Medicago truncatula: one gene and its partner. Each later gene encodes a partner of the first gene's protein in a complex. Links are inferred from orthologs where the notes say so. Each region holds a gene or a part of one and is shown on either strand. Other genes may lie near its edges.

Evidence for each region. Proteins that work in one complex are often made in the same cells at the same time.
Region 2: ribonuclease E/G-like protein, chloroplastic (region 1) and rho-N domain-containing protein 1, chloroplastic share a complex: the UniProt entries of both Arabidopsis thaliana proteins name them as parts of the chloroplastic degradosome-like complex. The link is inferred for Medicago truncatula from reciprocal best matches to the Arabidopsis thaliana genes RNEE/G and RHON1.

The regions. Positions count from the first base shown.
Region 1 is NC_053046.1:30,752,794-30,760,124, forward strand, and holds the start of ribonuclease E/G-like protein, chloroplastic, read right to left. Parts: upstream 3,033-7,331; 5' UTR 2,827-3,032; coding exon 2,732-2,826; intron 1,779-2,731; coding exon 1,672-1,778; intron 883-1,671; coding exon 701-882; intron 321-700; coding exon 68-320; intron 2-67; exon of another isoform or gene 1-1. UniProt on the Arabidopsis thaliana protein: Involved in intercistronic processing of primary transcripts from chloroplast operons. The endonucleolytic activity of the enzyme depends on the number of phosphates at the 5' end, is inhibited by structured RNA, and preferentially cleaves A/U-rich sequences.
Region 2 is NC_053042.1:34,467,057-34,474,385, forward strand, and holds the start of rho-N domain-containing protein 1, chloroplastic, read right to left. Parts: upstream 3,051-7,329; 5' UTR 2,962-3,050; coding exon 2,922-2,961; intron 1,341-2,921; coding exon 265-1,340; 3' UTR 1-264. UniProt on the Arabidopsis thaliana protein: Binds to and supports processing of specific plastid RNAs. Associates via its C-terminal Rho-N domain to single stranded regions of 16S and 23S rRNAs or to rbcL mRNAs. May be involved in targeting transcripts to RNases such as RNE or RNase J.

The DNA.
Region 1 (7,331 bases):
ACTGTTTGAGTGTTCAGAAACATAGGAAAACATATTTCTGGAGTAGTGTAAAAATATCAAATAATACCTTTGACTGGAAAAAAAATAGAGGGCTGCTTTAGAAGATACGTTTCCTCAGTGCAGGGGTTCCATGCATGAGCTGAAGAAATATGGAAATTGGACCTAATCCATAAATCCCTCACCACAATTTCATTATCTGCTAGAGCTGTGAGAGGTACTGAAAGAGAAAATGCTGGTCCAGGCTTCCAAATAATGTCACTTGAGGACCTTGATTTTTCCTTAATGAAATAGTTATATTTAAAGTTCAAGCCAAAAGCAATCTGCAAGGAAAATAACAACCGAGTCACTTGTATTGATTTTTTTTTTTTTTGACGTTTATACGGTATTTCAAGAATATTGAAGCTTTCATATAATAATCTAAACTTTAATGAAAGGAGCACTATGATTTGGCAGATGCATAATTTTGTAGCAACAAGCCTCCTATCATTTACCATAGAATACATACTACAGTGTTGCGGATTTCCTTCCGGAGATAAAAAAAGCTTTAGACGCACAACTCTTCTATAACATGGGAGATTTCTTTATATCATTGACAATGTATTGTAGGTTTGCTTTATATGTTTCACTTGGTGTACAAAACCCTATTCAAAACTCAGCTCAGTACAACTAGATAAATATACAGACAGCCCAGTGATATTACCTGAGATTCAGCTTTCCAAATATTAGTGTGCTCCGTAGGAGACATTAGTACAGCCATGTTGGGTTTCCAGCAGCCTAACACAGCAGGGTCCCCAGTTATGTACAGGAGATGACCATCTTCTAAATCAGCTTCTACAGTCCAAATAATCTTGCATAGATCATCAACACTGGTGGTTGAATTTCCTAATAAATAAGGCAGGCCAGATTCATCATTCATTCTAAACAAGAGCAAATTTCATTAAGAAAGCATGGTAAGGAACACTAACGCCAAAAGGAAAACTTGCATCTGTACAGAACTCATACTACTAAAAGATGCCTTATTTGATAGTGAATGAAATTGCAGAATTAAAAAGTAACCTTGCCTCATAGAATAATGAAGAGAATTAAAAAAAAAATTAACGATTAATGTAGCTAACACCATGAAGAAAGTCGTTGCAGTTTTAGTTGCAGCATTTAGCTGTGCAATAGAATTAAACTAAAATAAGTCGACTTCCTGCTTCATTTAGTTAAAAAATGAAGAAATTGTTCACAATTCATAATGTCAGTTCGAATCATTCAAAAAATTGAAAGAAGTAATAAGTGGCATGTTGCATTGCTTGTTATGAACATATCAATGGAATCTTATTAAATTATTAATCCATCAGGGTAATACTTTAATTTTCTTTAACTACAGAGGACAAGATATAAAAATGTAATTTTATCCGTACAAGAACAAAATACAACTCTTGAGTTGCTGAGTTTCGGTCCTTTATTCATGTAATAAACCAAGCTCGAATCAGATTCTGCTGAAATACAACTGGAAGTTGCATATTTGGATGTTAATTCTTGAACAACTCCGTTGTGATAAGGATCCAGCAAAACAAGTTAAAGCATGAAATATTTAGGCTATAGAAAAGAGATAGTCGTGTAACTAAAAAATGAAGTCATAAACAAATAAACCAACAAGAGCTTACAAAAAGATGTCTGAATTACCTTTCTGCGTTGTTGTGAATGAAGCTAATCTTCTAACTGATTTATGGTTCTTCAGACAGCACATGAATCTATATTCTCCATGTAGTGGTGCATGATGGAATATATGCCTGTCCCAATATTTTAATACATAAGTGCAATCAAGACAAACAAAACGAGAGAAACAATTAACACTAAAAAGAATGTGCATATCATATTTCAACTATAAAATCATAATAAAAATCAATGTCCTATCTTCAATCATCCCATCAATACATATTTTGTGATTAATGTAAGCTACACGTCTAGCAAATGGGTCAAAATAAGGACCGATCAGTACAACAACTAACTACTATTTGCTCCAATTAGTGAAAAATAATAAGCGTTATGGTACAATTGTGTTCTCGATGGTGACTGTGAGCAAGAATCTTGCCTTGTTTCATATATCAATTCAAGAATTTCACATTGAACAAAAAATAACTGAAGGTGTTTAGAATCCAAAAGCTTCAGCTAAGTTAGATTAGATTTTGTTCATAAAATGAAATATCTAGTTAAGCTAATCATTTGGCTATAAGACTCATTTCTATCAACTAAACCACGAAACCTCTCTAAAAATTTATCAATTACAGATTTTTGCATACTTTAATGCCAACGTTAATAAAAATATTCGACGACTAAGTGAACGCGGCGCGCTAGGGTTGAACTCGAAAACCTTGAAAATCTTAACAAAATCCCTTCAAATCTTCATCATACAACAAAAATGAGGGAAGTGCCAATCATTCACAATCCACAATACAAACCCTTACTGCCACTATATCATGAAACATAGTACAGCATAATTTCACCCTCTCTACCAAACAACAATTACAACAAAATTCAAAAAACCCTTTTTATCAAAACAAAATGGTGAAAAGGAACAATTTTTCCGTCTAAATTAAAAAATTAAAAACATCATAGCCAAAAAATAATAAAAAGTACAAAAGGCACATGCAATGAATTAGGTATACATTTTTTTCATGGTGGTACAATAACCCAGATGAAAAAATGGCAATAAGAAATTGAGAATGAGAGAAACAAAACAAACCTCTTTGGTGAAAGTGTGTAAGGATTAGAGAAGGGTGTGAAAAGGTGATGAGGGTGGTGCAAAAAACCAACTTCAGCAATAAACTCCATTAACATGAAGACAACAATGGAATTTGACACGAGTTCATGAGTTTGTGTTAGCACAAAGAGTGGAGTGTGTGAAGAAATGAAGAGGTTTGGATAAAATATAGGGATCCGGATTCAATAACTTTTAGGGTGGGAAAAGTTATGTGACTTTGTTCAATATCCACCATTGGTTTAATCTCTTGGTTCAGATTTTGACACATGTTTCAACTTTTTTGTAGTATTTGTCGTCTTCTTCCTCCTCTCAACATGTTGTTAATTGTCGTTCCGCTATCGACCTCTTCTTCTATCGTTTGGATTTTCTGCAGTGTTTTATATGAAAATGGAGGTTTAAGATTTTGATTAAAAAGGGTGGCGCTCGACAACCAGGACGGTGGGTGTGTGGCGGTCGACGACAAGTTGAAGGTCGGTGGTTCTTGGAAGCGGCGATGGATCTGTTGAGGAACGGATTTTAACACAAAAATGGATCGGACATATGTCAAAATATCCACCATGTGATTAATCTAAGGATGGAAATCAAGGCAAAGTCACATGACTCTTCCCGTCCTAAAGTTATGGAATCCGGATCCAAAATATGATAGGAGGTCGTGACACGAGAGGCAACCACAAGATAACGATTTTTAGGCTACTTAGAATATTTTCTCCGTCTCATTTTAATCCTCGTTCTTAAGAAAATGATTAGTTGAATTAATTTTAAAAGTAAAATTAAAATAGTTTATCAGAATATTTTTATTAATTGTAGTTATTAAAGTAGTTAAGTGAAGATCTCGTGAGTATAGCTCAGTGGAACATTTGTCTCATGCATGAATTTTACAATAAAGTATAAGTAGTATATTTAAGATCAAATATTTTCATGGGTTCTTTAAGTTTCATGTTTGTTTTAGATATGTCCTTTAAGTTTTCAAAGTTTCAGATAAGTCCTTTAAGTTTCAAATTTGTTTCAGATAGGTCCCTTCTATTAAATCAACTTTGGCTTAACGGAGGTTGATAGAAATGACCTATATGAAACAAACTCGAAACTTAAAGGACTTATCCGAAACAAACTCCAAACTTAAAAAACATATCTGAAACCTTAAAAACTTAAAGGATCTATCTAAAACAAATATGAAACTTAAAAGACCTGGAAGGTGTTTGGCCTATATTCAACTTAAACTACTAATTAAAGTATTTTGAATTGATAATTTAGATTAAAAATATCATTAATACTATTTTGATTAAAAATGTCAATCACCAACTTTTTTTTTCGATTCACATCGATCACCAACTTTAAAAATGTAATTAATATTATTTTGATTCTTTACTTTCAATAGTTAACAATTTTAGAACTACCTCTCAAAAAAAAAAAAAAAACTTTAGAACTAATTGAAAAACAATTTAAAAACTAAGGAAAACTGATGGGTAAAAGGTGATAGATAATGATATAGTACAAATGAATAAAGTAAAAGGTGGTGAGACATAATACCATTCTTGATAGTTAGATAATGATAGTTAGTTGTTGATTATCAAGAATTGTATTTTTGAGGACCGAAACTCAGCAACTCAAGAATTGTATTATCAAGAACAAAAAACTTTTACACAAAAAACATAATACAATTCTTGAGTTGCTGAGTTTCGGTCCTTTATTCATGAGATAAACCAAACTCAAATCAGATTCTACTGAAATACAACTGGAAGTTGCATATTTAGATGTTAAATCGTGAACAATTCACTTGTTTGATAAGGATCCAGCAAAACAAGTTAAAGCATGAAATATTTAGGTTATGGAAAAGAGATAGCCATATAACTAAAAAATGAAGTCATAAACAAATAAATGAACAAGAGCTTACAAAAAGATGTTTGAATTACCTTTTTGCGTTGTTGTGAATGAAGCTAATCTTCTAACTGATTTATGGTTCTTCAAACAACACATGAATCTATATTCTCCGTGTAGTGGTGCATGATGGAATATATGCATGTCCCAATATTTTAACAGATAAGTGCAATAAAGACAAACAAAATGAGAGAAACAATTAGCACTAAAAAGAATGTGCATATCATATTTCAAATATAAAATCATAATAAAAATCAATGTCATATCTTCAACCATCCCATCAATACATATCGTGATTAATGTAAGCTACATGTCTAAGCAAATGGGTCAAAATAACGACCGATCAGTACAACAACTAACTACTATTTGCTACAATTAGTGAAGAATAATAAGCGTTATGGTACAATTGTGTTCTCGGTGGTGACTGTGAGCAAGAATCTTGCCTTGTTTCATATATCAATTCAATAGTTACACATTGAACAAACAATAACTGAAGGTGTTTAGAATTCAAAAGCTTCAGCTAGGTTAGATTAGATTTTGTTCATAAAATGAAATAACTAGTTAAGCTAATCATTTGGCTATAAGACTCAATTTCTATCAACTAAACCACAAAACCTCTCTTAAAATCTATCTATTACAGATTTTTGCATACTTTAATGTCAACGTTAATAAAAATATTCGACGACTAAGTGAACGCGGCGCGCTAGGGTTGAACTCGAAACTAAGTGTGTAAGGATCAGAGAAGGGTGTAAAAAGGTGATGAGCTCCAGCCACTAGGCTACTAGACAAAAAAAAAAATTAATATAGAGAGAGAGAGAGAGAGAGAGAGAGAGAGGGAGGGAGGGAGCATTATTTAAATGTGTGTTTGATTTGTTAAAAAAACTGATGAGAGTTTTGGAAATTAAGCCAGACAACCGTGAGATTTTGTTTGGGTTATCGGCTTTAGGGGAACAAGGTTTTCTTCTACTAGGATTTAAGGATGTTTTTCCAATTTTGAGTGACATTCTTGTTATCCTTGTGAGAGTTTGGTTTTCTAATCGTTTGTTCTATTCCATTGATATTGTGTGGTTTATTCCATCTTGATCACTTTGTGTTGTCTCAATATGATGAGTGTGAATAGGGATGGTGATGACAACAACAAGTGCCTGAAAATGAGTCTTGGATTTTATTAAGCAGATGTTGTGAAACTCTGCATTATCGTGGTGTATGATAGATGATTTTAATGGCATTATGCACATGTAGAGAAAGACATGACCAGGAGACCTCAATGGCTAATGAACAAATTCAAAAAAGTTCTCCATGAGGCTGGGTTGCTTGATATTAATTCGGAAGGCTATAATTCACATTGTTCAAAAGTTTAGCCACTAATAGAGTTGTTGATGAACGACTAGACAGAGCAACATCAAACAAAGATTACTACCAATTGTTCCTAAATGGTCAATTAGAAAATTTGGTTACTCTCGCCTCATATCAATATTCAATTCTACTTCATCATGTTCCTTGCACACGGCCTAGAATGACTTGTCACAAGTTTAAGTTCTAAAATGCATGGAGAGTTGATCCCAACTTGAACGAGGTAGTGAAACAACAGTGGCATGATAATCTTGATCGCAATATAACCCCCTCAGTTGGAAGGATGTGACGAGGATTTGGTGGTACATTGGAATAAAACTCATTGTAACAAGTTGAAGACGTATATTGAGGAATGTCGTGCGGAGCTAAATTGGGATAGTAGTACAAATGATGTTGGTCATTGTAATTCTTTGCACAAGAAAATGTCACGTCTCTTAGTCCAAGAGGATTTGTATTGGGAGCAACGAGTGAATACGAGTTGGTATCAAGATGGAGATTTGAATACAAAATTCATTCATACTTCATCCACTGTTACCAGAAAAGTTAACAAGATATCCTCTTTGGAAGATGCAAGTATGGTACAAGTCACGAATAAAGCGCAAATGGCCAATGGGATCAATCAAAATAGAAGGTTGCCTTGATGCAAGGGTGAAAACCCTAACATAACATGTTTCCCTAGCAAAAAATTTCAAATAATATTATAGGTTTGATTTTTCTCTTTACTAGCAATATATCTAGGTTGTGCGTTGAAGCGTGTTTGTTTGTTTGAATTTGAATATCATATTACGATTTGAAAAATTAATTATATGTTGCACTAATTTATAATTAATATAACAATAATTACTCTTATTAATGTATAGTTGTTATATTATAATTGATTTTATTTTGTGAAATATATTACTAAAACACTAATTTTAAATAATTTTTTATCGACAAACATTTGTCCCCGTAAAATAATAGAAATAATTTGTACAATATTTTTTTATGTATCAATAACAAATTTGTGCCCCTCCTCAATAGGGGTGATTCTGGGTCAAAAAATGATTTAAACTACCCCTGCTCAAAGAGTGAAATAGAGAGAATTTTGAGAGAATGTGGAGTTTCTCTCACTAAAAAAACTAGGGCCAACTAATGCATGTAAATTATTAAGAATATTTTTTGATGAAATTTTCATCATTATTTATTACGTAGCAATAACAAATATTTTTCATTGGTTTTATATATATATATATATATATATATATATATATATATATATATATATATATTAATGGAATTTGTGACTCTTTTTTGTTCTTTTACGGATCAGCTTGATGATGTTCTTTTGTTGTTACTTCTTCATTTGTTCTTTTAT
Region 2 (7,329 bases), on another chromosome or scaffold:
TGAAAATAATTCACATATCTCAGAATGTGAACACAAACTACAAATTTTTAAAACCAACAAGGCAAAGACACGGGGATTACTCTAATGACCCACTAACACTCAAACCCAGGTAATTGGATTGGAATATTTATATCAAAAAAATTCTAAAAAGAAAAGAACTAAAAGAAGCATCAGGTTAAAAGCAGAGGAAAAACATATATTTTATCATGAAATTTGTTTATCCGTTCTAGCACTCCTTTTCCTTCTCGTACCGTTTACTCAGAATCAGTTCTCAGTTAGTAGCTCCACGAGATCTCCCTTCTTCATTTTGGAGAACCCTTTCATGCCACGAGACTTTGCAAGTGCCCTTAATTCAGACATCTTCAGTGCATTCAAATCCTCATTTTGAACCACTACATGCTCATCCACACCCTCATTATTATAGGTTTGTTCAGAGTCATCAGAATCATCATCTGAAAATTCAGGGACGGACGTCTCATCCTTTGTATCAAGATCAATGTCAGACTCAAATTTAGGTTCTGGCTCGTCATCAAGTTTCGAATCTAATTGATCATGAATGTTCTCATTATCTTCAGTACCTATTGGTACTGCATTAGTATCAGCCACGTTATTAGAGACAGGCTGGTACCTAACACGTGGAACAGGAGACTTTCTTTGGAAAACTGACCGAGGCCGAGCCGAAGAAGCAACGTCGGCTTCTCGAGACTCGCCCTTTGGAGCACCTGAATCAGAAAATTTAGAGTTTTGTCTTCCATTGTATTGGTTACTTTCTTGCGATTGGTCAGAGTTAAGGTCTTTTCCATTGTCCTCTCCATTACTTCTCTTTCCTTGCTCAACAGAGTGTTTCTTCAATAGGTTGAGGAGGGAATCTACAGCACTTTGCTCTTTAACATGCCCTCGGCGTGTTTCAACTTTGTTTTCTTCTTTAACAGCGGCCCTCTCACGCAACCGAGCTTGAACTTTCCTAAATAATTCAACAATCTCCTTCTCTCTGGGGCCAGGGGATGAAGTGGCCTGGAATTTCCCTGAATTATACGATACTAATGGTCCATTTTTTGAAGATAACATATCTTCTTCTTCAAAATTCTCAAAGATATCTCTCCCATCATCGTTCCTATTTCTGCCTCTTGACGACCCATGCCTATTGTTTTGCCTTGAGAAATCTGAGTTCCTCCTTGCTTCACATACAAAAGATGCAGCCGTTGAACCATACTTTAGTCCTCCAATTTTGGCATGAGAATGAATTCTACGACGACCTAGAGAAGTGCATGAATATGCAACAGTTGTTCTTCCAAAACCACGTGAACACGGGAAACACTTGTCTTCTGGCATTCCACAACCTGAAATATATCAAACCAACTCAACAACCAGAGATAATCGTGTAAGGACGAAAAAAGTAAAGGAAGACATCAAATTATACAAAACATGGTGCCCTATGGTAGCAAACTATCAACCTGTAGGTTTAGTTATGATAAACATCAAGATAGTTTATAGGGAGCAAACTGAATCTACAAGCAGCTTATAGATTAACATGCTAATTTAAATTGGTTCAATCATCCAAGAAAAAAAAATCCAGCTTGGTAAGGTTCCCTCTAAGGGTCATAAAAAACATATGCAGTATCCATACAAAAAACATATTTTAAATTTACATGCTGAACTTTGAGTATCTACTTTTTACTGTTAAAATGTGTTACAAAAAGAAGGCTCAATCTAAAATGCACTCCATCGTAAAGGGCACACCGGTTATCCTCTTTTATCACCATTGATTTATTATTTAAAATAAATGAATGGTAGAGACTTATTTAACTAAAAAGGGTAAACCACCATTTTGGTCCTAGAATATGTGATGCACTATTAGTTTGTTTGGGAGTTTGGAGGGGAGGGGAAGGCTTCGGAAGGTTCGAAATATACGGAAAAATGGTAAAATCTTTTACATTTTTTGAAAGAATAATTTTTTAGAGAATGATAAATTAATACTTATGATTAATATATTTTTAATTTTAAGAATATCATAACTATATAGATTAAATTTGAAGAATTCATGTAAACCCTCCAAAACCCTCCAGCAATACAATTTTTGAGTTCCCCCACATGAGGAAGATTTTGTATTATGAAGAAATTTTTTTCTCAATGTCGTCTATTTCTTCTACTTGTTCCTTTCTTTTTTTTCCAAACCCCTCCTCTCCCTTACCCTCCAAACAAAGCCTAAATGTCCTGTAATTACAAACAATCTCTGATGCCTCTTTTGTAAGTAAGTTTAGGGACTAAAATGAACAATGAAAAATATATTTGAGAACTAAATTGGCTACCCAGAAACATGCAACAATAAAAGAGACGTTTGTGGATGTGTTTGCAATTTCGATAGATTCATAGACTATACTATAGTGACAAAGCCTCACACATTCAGGGACCCAAGTGTTGGTTTACCCAAATTTTAATCATAATCATCCACAATGTTCTGACTTTTAACATGTAACATATAAGAATTCCATGCTTCAGAAAACTTAAAACAACATAGTCAAAACTCAAAACAAAGTGAAAAACCTAAACTAGAGAAAAGGGCATTTCTAATAACAAGTAATGTTGCACCTACATCTTAAAATTCTACACCAAGGATACAATTGGTCATTGATATGTCAAATATTGGTCACAGAAAAAAAAAAAAAAACTTCAACCCACTAAGATAACATGATTTACCCAGAAAATAATAGCCAATAAAGTTTGAAGCTTTTCTATGAGAAAGCCACAGCTAATTGAAAAAACAAAGAAAATAAACCCAATTGAACATACGGTTTTTAAAACCCTAGTGTGAAATTTGTATTTCAAACCAATCAAATAAAAGGGGTTTTAGAATTTGAAGGGGTTTTTCCAAAACTAATATGAGAACAGTTTTGATCAAAGAGGAGAAGAGAGATACTAACCAACGTTGTTGGCGACGACGAGATGAACGGTTTGCGACATTGTTTTGTTTTGTTTTGTTGTGTTGGGAGACGGATACACAGAACACTCTCACAGTTTCTCTTCTTTTCTTGTAGGTTTTAGTTCGCTTGATAAGGGGTGTTCTCGGTAATATGTTCTTATGTTAGGGGCAAAACTGTCATCATCTTATTTTTAATTTTTTTTTTTTTTTTTACAAAAACAAAAATAATATGTATTCATTCAAATTGATAAAGTACATCAAATATAATATCGTATTTTACTTCATTTATAAACATAAAAAATGCATACAAATAATATGATACAAATCTATAGAAGGACTTATAAACATACGAAAAAACATCGTATTATTTGTATTATTTTTTATGTTTATAAATGAAGTATATCATCTAATTTGAAATGAATGATGAGTCTATCACCTAATTTCTAAGTTGGTGTTATATGGTCAATACAACATCGTATTATACTTTATTTTATAAACAAGATTTTTCCATACAAATTTATAGAGCAACTTATAATTTGAGGACAAAACATTTTTTTTTAAATGATCTTATAATTAGGGATGATATAAAATAATACACTTCCCTTCAAACTAAATTTGGTAGAATTCAAGCTTTAATTTATTTTTATTTTTTTACAAGAAGCTTTAATTTATATGACTATATGTACCTTGTGATTGTAATATTATAAGATAACATTAGCTTGGGCTCTAGGAAATGGCAGGGAAAGGAAAATGGTAGCTATCATTCTGCATTCACCCCCACTACCCTACAGAATCAAGAACAACTTTCACAGGTACAGAGAGAATGGTTTATTTAAGGTATCTATCAAATTACAAGTGTTCAACATGTTGATAAGATCGTATTAGTAGAATGCTGCCTATTGTTATTTTTTTATACTTGTTTTGGAGTGTTGAATCTTGAGAAAATGTTATGTTGCTTAAGACTTTGAAAGACCTTTCTCTTGAAGGAAATAAGACACATGAGCTTGGATCCTTGTGGAAATGGATCCTCTCAATTTTGTCTGTCTCATGTTTTCTCTATTTTCACATCTCAACTCTTATGGGGCTTGATAAGTGAGGAAAAGGGCTATGATGCGGCCTTTCGACAGATGGGACTGTGCACGTTGCTGACGAAATTGTTTTCAGATGATTTTATTGTCAGTTTACACTGCACTAAGCTGCAGTCAGACAGTTAATTGGTAGGGCATCATCCTTTGTTGACAGAAAAGAGAGATTATAACACAGTAGCAAAATATGCACTGATTTCCATGAAAGAATGAACTGCCTTGCCCCTAGATAAGAACAAATAAGAGGAAAAACTCTTGCACAATGTTATTGTTGTAATCTGTGTTTGCAAATAGTATGTTTCTTTAGTACTAGGTTTCATTAGTACTCTCTGCTATTGTTGTGATCTAAGTTTCATTAGTGCTCTCTAATTCTTTCATGATTTTAAATGGTTTGTTTTTATCGAGCTTACGTTGCAGGAGGAGTTGCCGACATTAATGGCTTATTGGAGGGAATTAATTTTTTCTCGGGAGTGGTTTAGCAATGTTAGCCATTTGTACTCTAGTTGTCAATGTAATCAGTAGCAACAATTTTCTGACACAATGTTGAACTCAAGAATAATTACAAAGCCACAATTTAAAAATCATATGTTTATTCTTCATTCTTGCTTCAGGTAAAATACATAAAAAGAAATAGAGGGACAGGTAAACTCAAGAAGTTGGTGCTTCTCAGAACTGAATTTCAGAGGCTTTGTGACTTTTTGCCATCTCATCAACATCATGTTCCATTTCCAACACTGGCGAATCAAAGAACATGCTCTCCTTACTGGCAAGAGTAAAATATATCAATAATCAAAAGAACCAGTTCCATTTGTGCACAATGTATTAATCTCAGAAATGTGGTTACCTGTTCAGTACACGGTTGTGGTCTACAGCACTTCGCATGCAGTATAGGACTCTGCCAACGATTTTGTTCATGTGAATTGGACCAAATGTTCGACTATCAATTGCTTCCTGCCATTTGAATTGGGAGCACTGAATGTTAGAAGAAATTAAGGAGTCGAGAAACATAACCAATATACGACGGAAGATCATAATATCTCTTGTGGAAACTTTCACTTAATGCTGTGATAAAGTTTGGTTACAATATTTCGAAGCTGTAAAAACTAAAAATACATCGAAGGACAAAAAAAAAAAATAGCATGATGAGAATTAACCAAACTTTTGCAGCTTAAGAGCTTGCCGCTAAAATCATTAACCTAAGTTCGGGTTACTATTCCATTAAAGAATTCCTTTCGGAAAAAATTAGAGCTCTCATCATGTTTGAATTTTGCAGGACATCCTTTCTCGATCTTTTTAATTTCCTATTTATATATAGATTCCAACAAACCATAACTAACTTAGCAATAAATATGAATAATTACCATACAAATACGATCAAAGCGAATAAATACACAAAATGTTATAGAACTTTTAATGTAAAATTGAAAAGAGGGGAAAGGAAGGTTGCTTCTACATTGAGGTGTATCGGTACTCTCGCTCTATAAATTTATAAATTAAAGATCATTTTATGAAATAAAAAGTTATTAGTCAATATTTATATTTTAGAAAACATCATTTCATATAAAAAAAAATCATTTTATTATTTATAAGAATCATATTGAATTTTTAACATTTTTTTCATAAAAAATTATCAATATTCTTTATTATAAGTAATAAAAATTCAAAAAAAAAAAAAATTATTTCGTCGAAGCTTTTGTTAAATAAGATTTAATTATTATAATTGTTAATAATAAAAAATAATTCTTTTTCTTAAAAACAACAACTCATTTGATCATTAATTATCGATTTGGTGTACCGGTACATTCAAATTTTTGGGTGTACCATAGAATTTGCCGGAAAGGAAAAGAAAAGAGAGAAAGAGAGAGAGAGAGCTTAACGGTGAGATCGAGGGTGTAACAAGCTTTGGCCATAAGGTACCGAATCTGCGTCCGCCTCGAAACCATTGTTGGAACAAAACTCTTTTCTTATTCCTTTTTATTTACTCGCTCAGCATGTGAATGCATTGTGTTTATGAAATGAGAAATGATATTTGTACGATCAATTTATGATAATTTTTATACAACTTTCTCTCTCATACTCATGGTCTTATCCTCTCTCTTCCGTTTTCTCTCTCCGTTGTTTTTTACTAACAAGAAGAAAGAAAAACAAGGTTGTGACTAAAGTTATCATGGAATGAATGTTCAAATATGATTGCTCTTATGAAATGTAGATGTGTAATAACCGATTGAAATATCAATCCTCAATTTATTCACTTTATCTAATTCAAGTAGTGGCCGGGAGGAGAAAATGAGAGAGAAATAAGGCAAATTCTCCTGAACACCAACCCTTCAATTTTATAGGTAAATGAGTTGTTTTTTTGAAGAAAAATATTAATTTTTATCATTTATAATTATAATGATTAAATCTTATTCATCAAAATTAGTGTAAACGAAATAATTTTTTTAAATTTTTATCGTTCATAATAGAGAACTTTGATTATTTTATACGATAATATGTAAAAAAAAAATACTATGATTCTTATAAACAATGAATGATGCGTTTTTCTTCTGAAATCATATTTTCTAAAATATAAATGTCGACAAATAACTATTTATTTCATAAAATTGATCGTTAGTTTATAGATTTATGAAGCAAGAGTACCTGTACACCTCAATTTACGAGTGTACCGTAGAAGTTCTCGAGAAATAAAGCAAAATAGCAAAAGAGTTAATTTTTTGTGTTCGATTAAGCTATAATGTTTTTTTTGGTAGTGGCGGGTTTGAACCCGAACCTTGCATATATTATGCATTGTCCTTACCAACTAAGTTAAGCTCATGAAGACTGATTAAACTATAATTTACTTAAAACTAATTGGTGACTAATAGAAAAAAAATCATAAATCATAAGAATTATGAGCTTAATTTTTTTTTTAACAAGCAAAGATAATTATATTAAGGTTTAAACATTATAAATAAATAATCATTTTTTAAAATTGACAAACTTTTCAATTTCCAATACACTGATTACACTAACTTTCATAAAAGTTTACCATTTAAGGTCTTAACTAGTGCTCACGCGGGCACTAGTTAACATTTCCCTTATAGTAACAACACACCCACAAAGTATTAGGAATGCTTTCAGGGACAAAAGAATACAAGCAAATATTATAATTTTGGCTTAATACATGCTTTGGTCCCTTAACTTATTTTTGGATTTCATTTTCGTCCCCTAATTAAAAAACGTCTCAAATTGGACCTTTATGAAGTAGATAAAATAGTCACAAGGAATGGGGGGTTTGAATTGTGACCCTTTAAAATTTATCCTGAAACTTAAGAGTGATTCTCA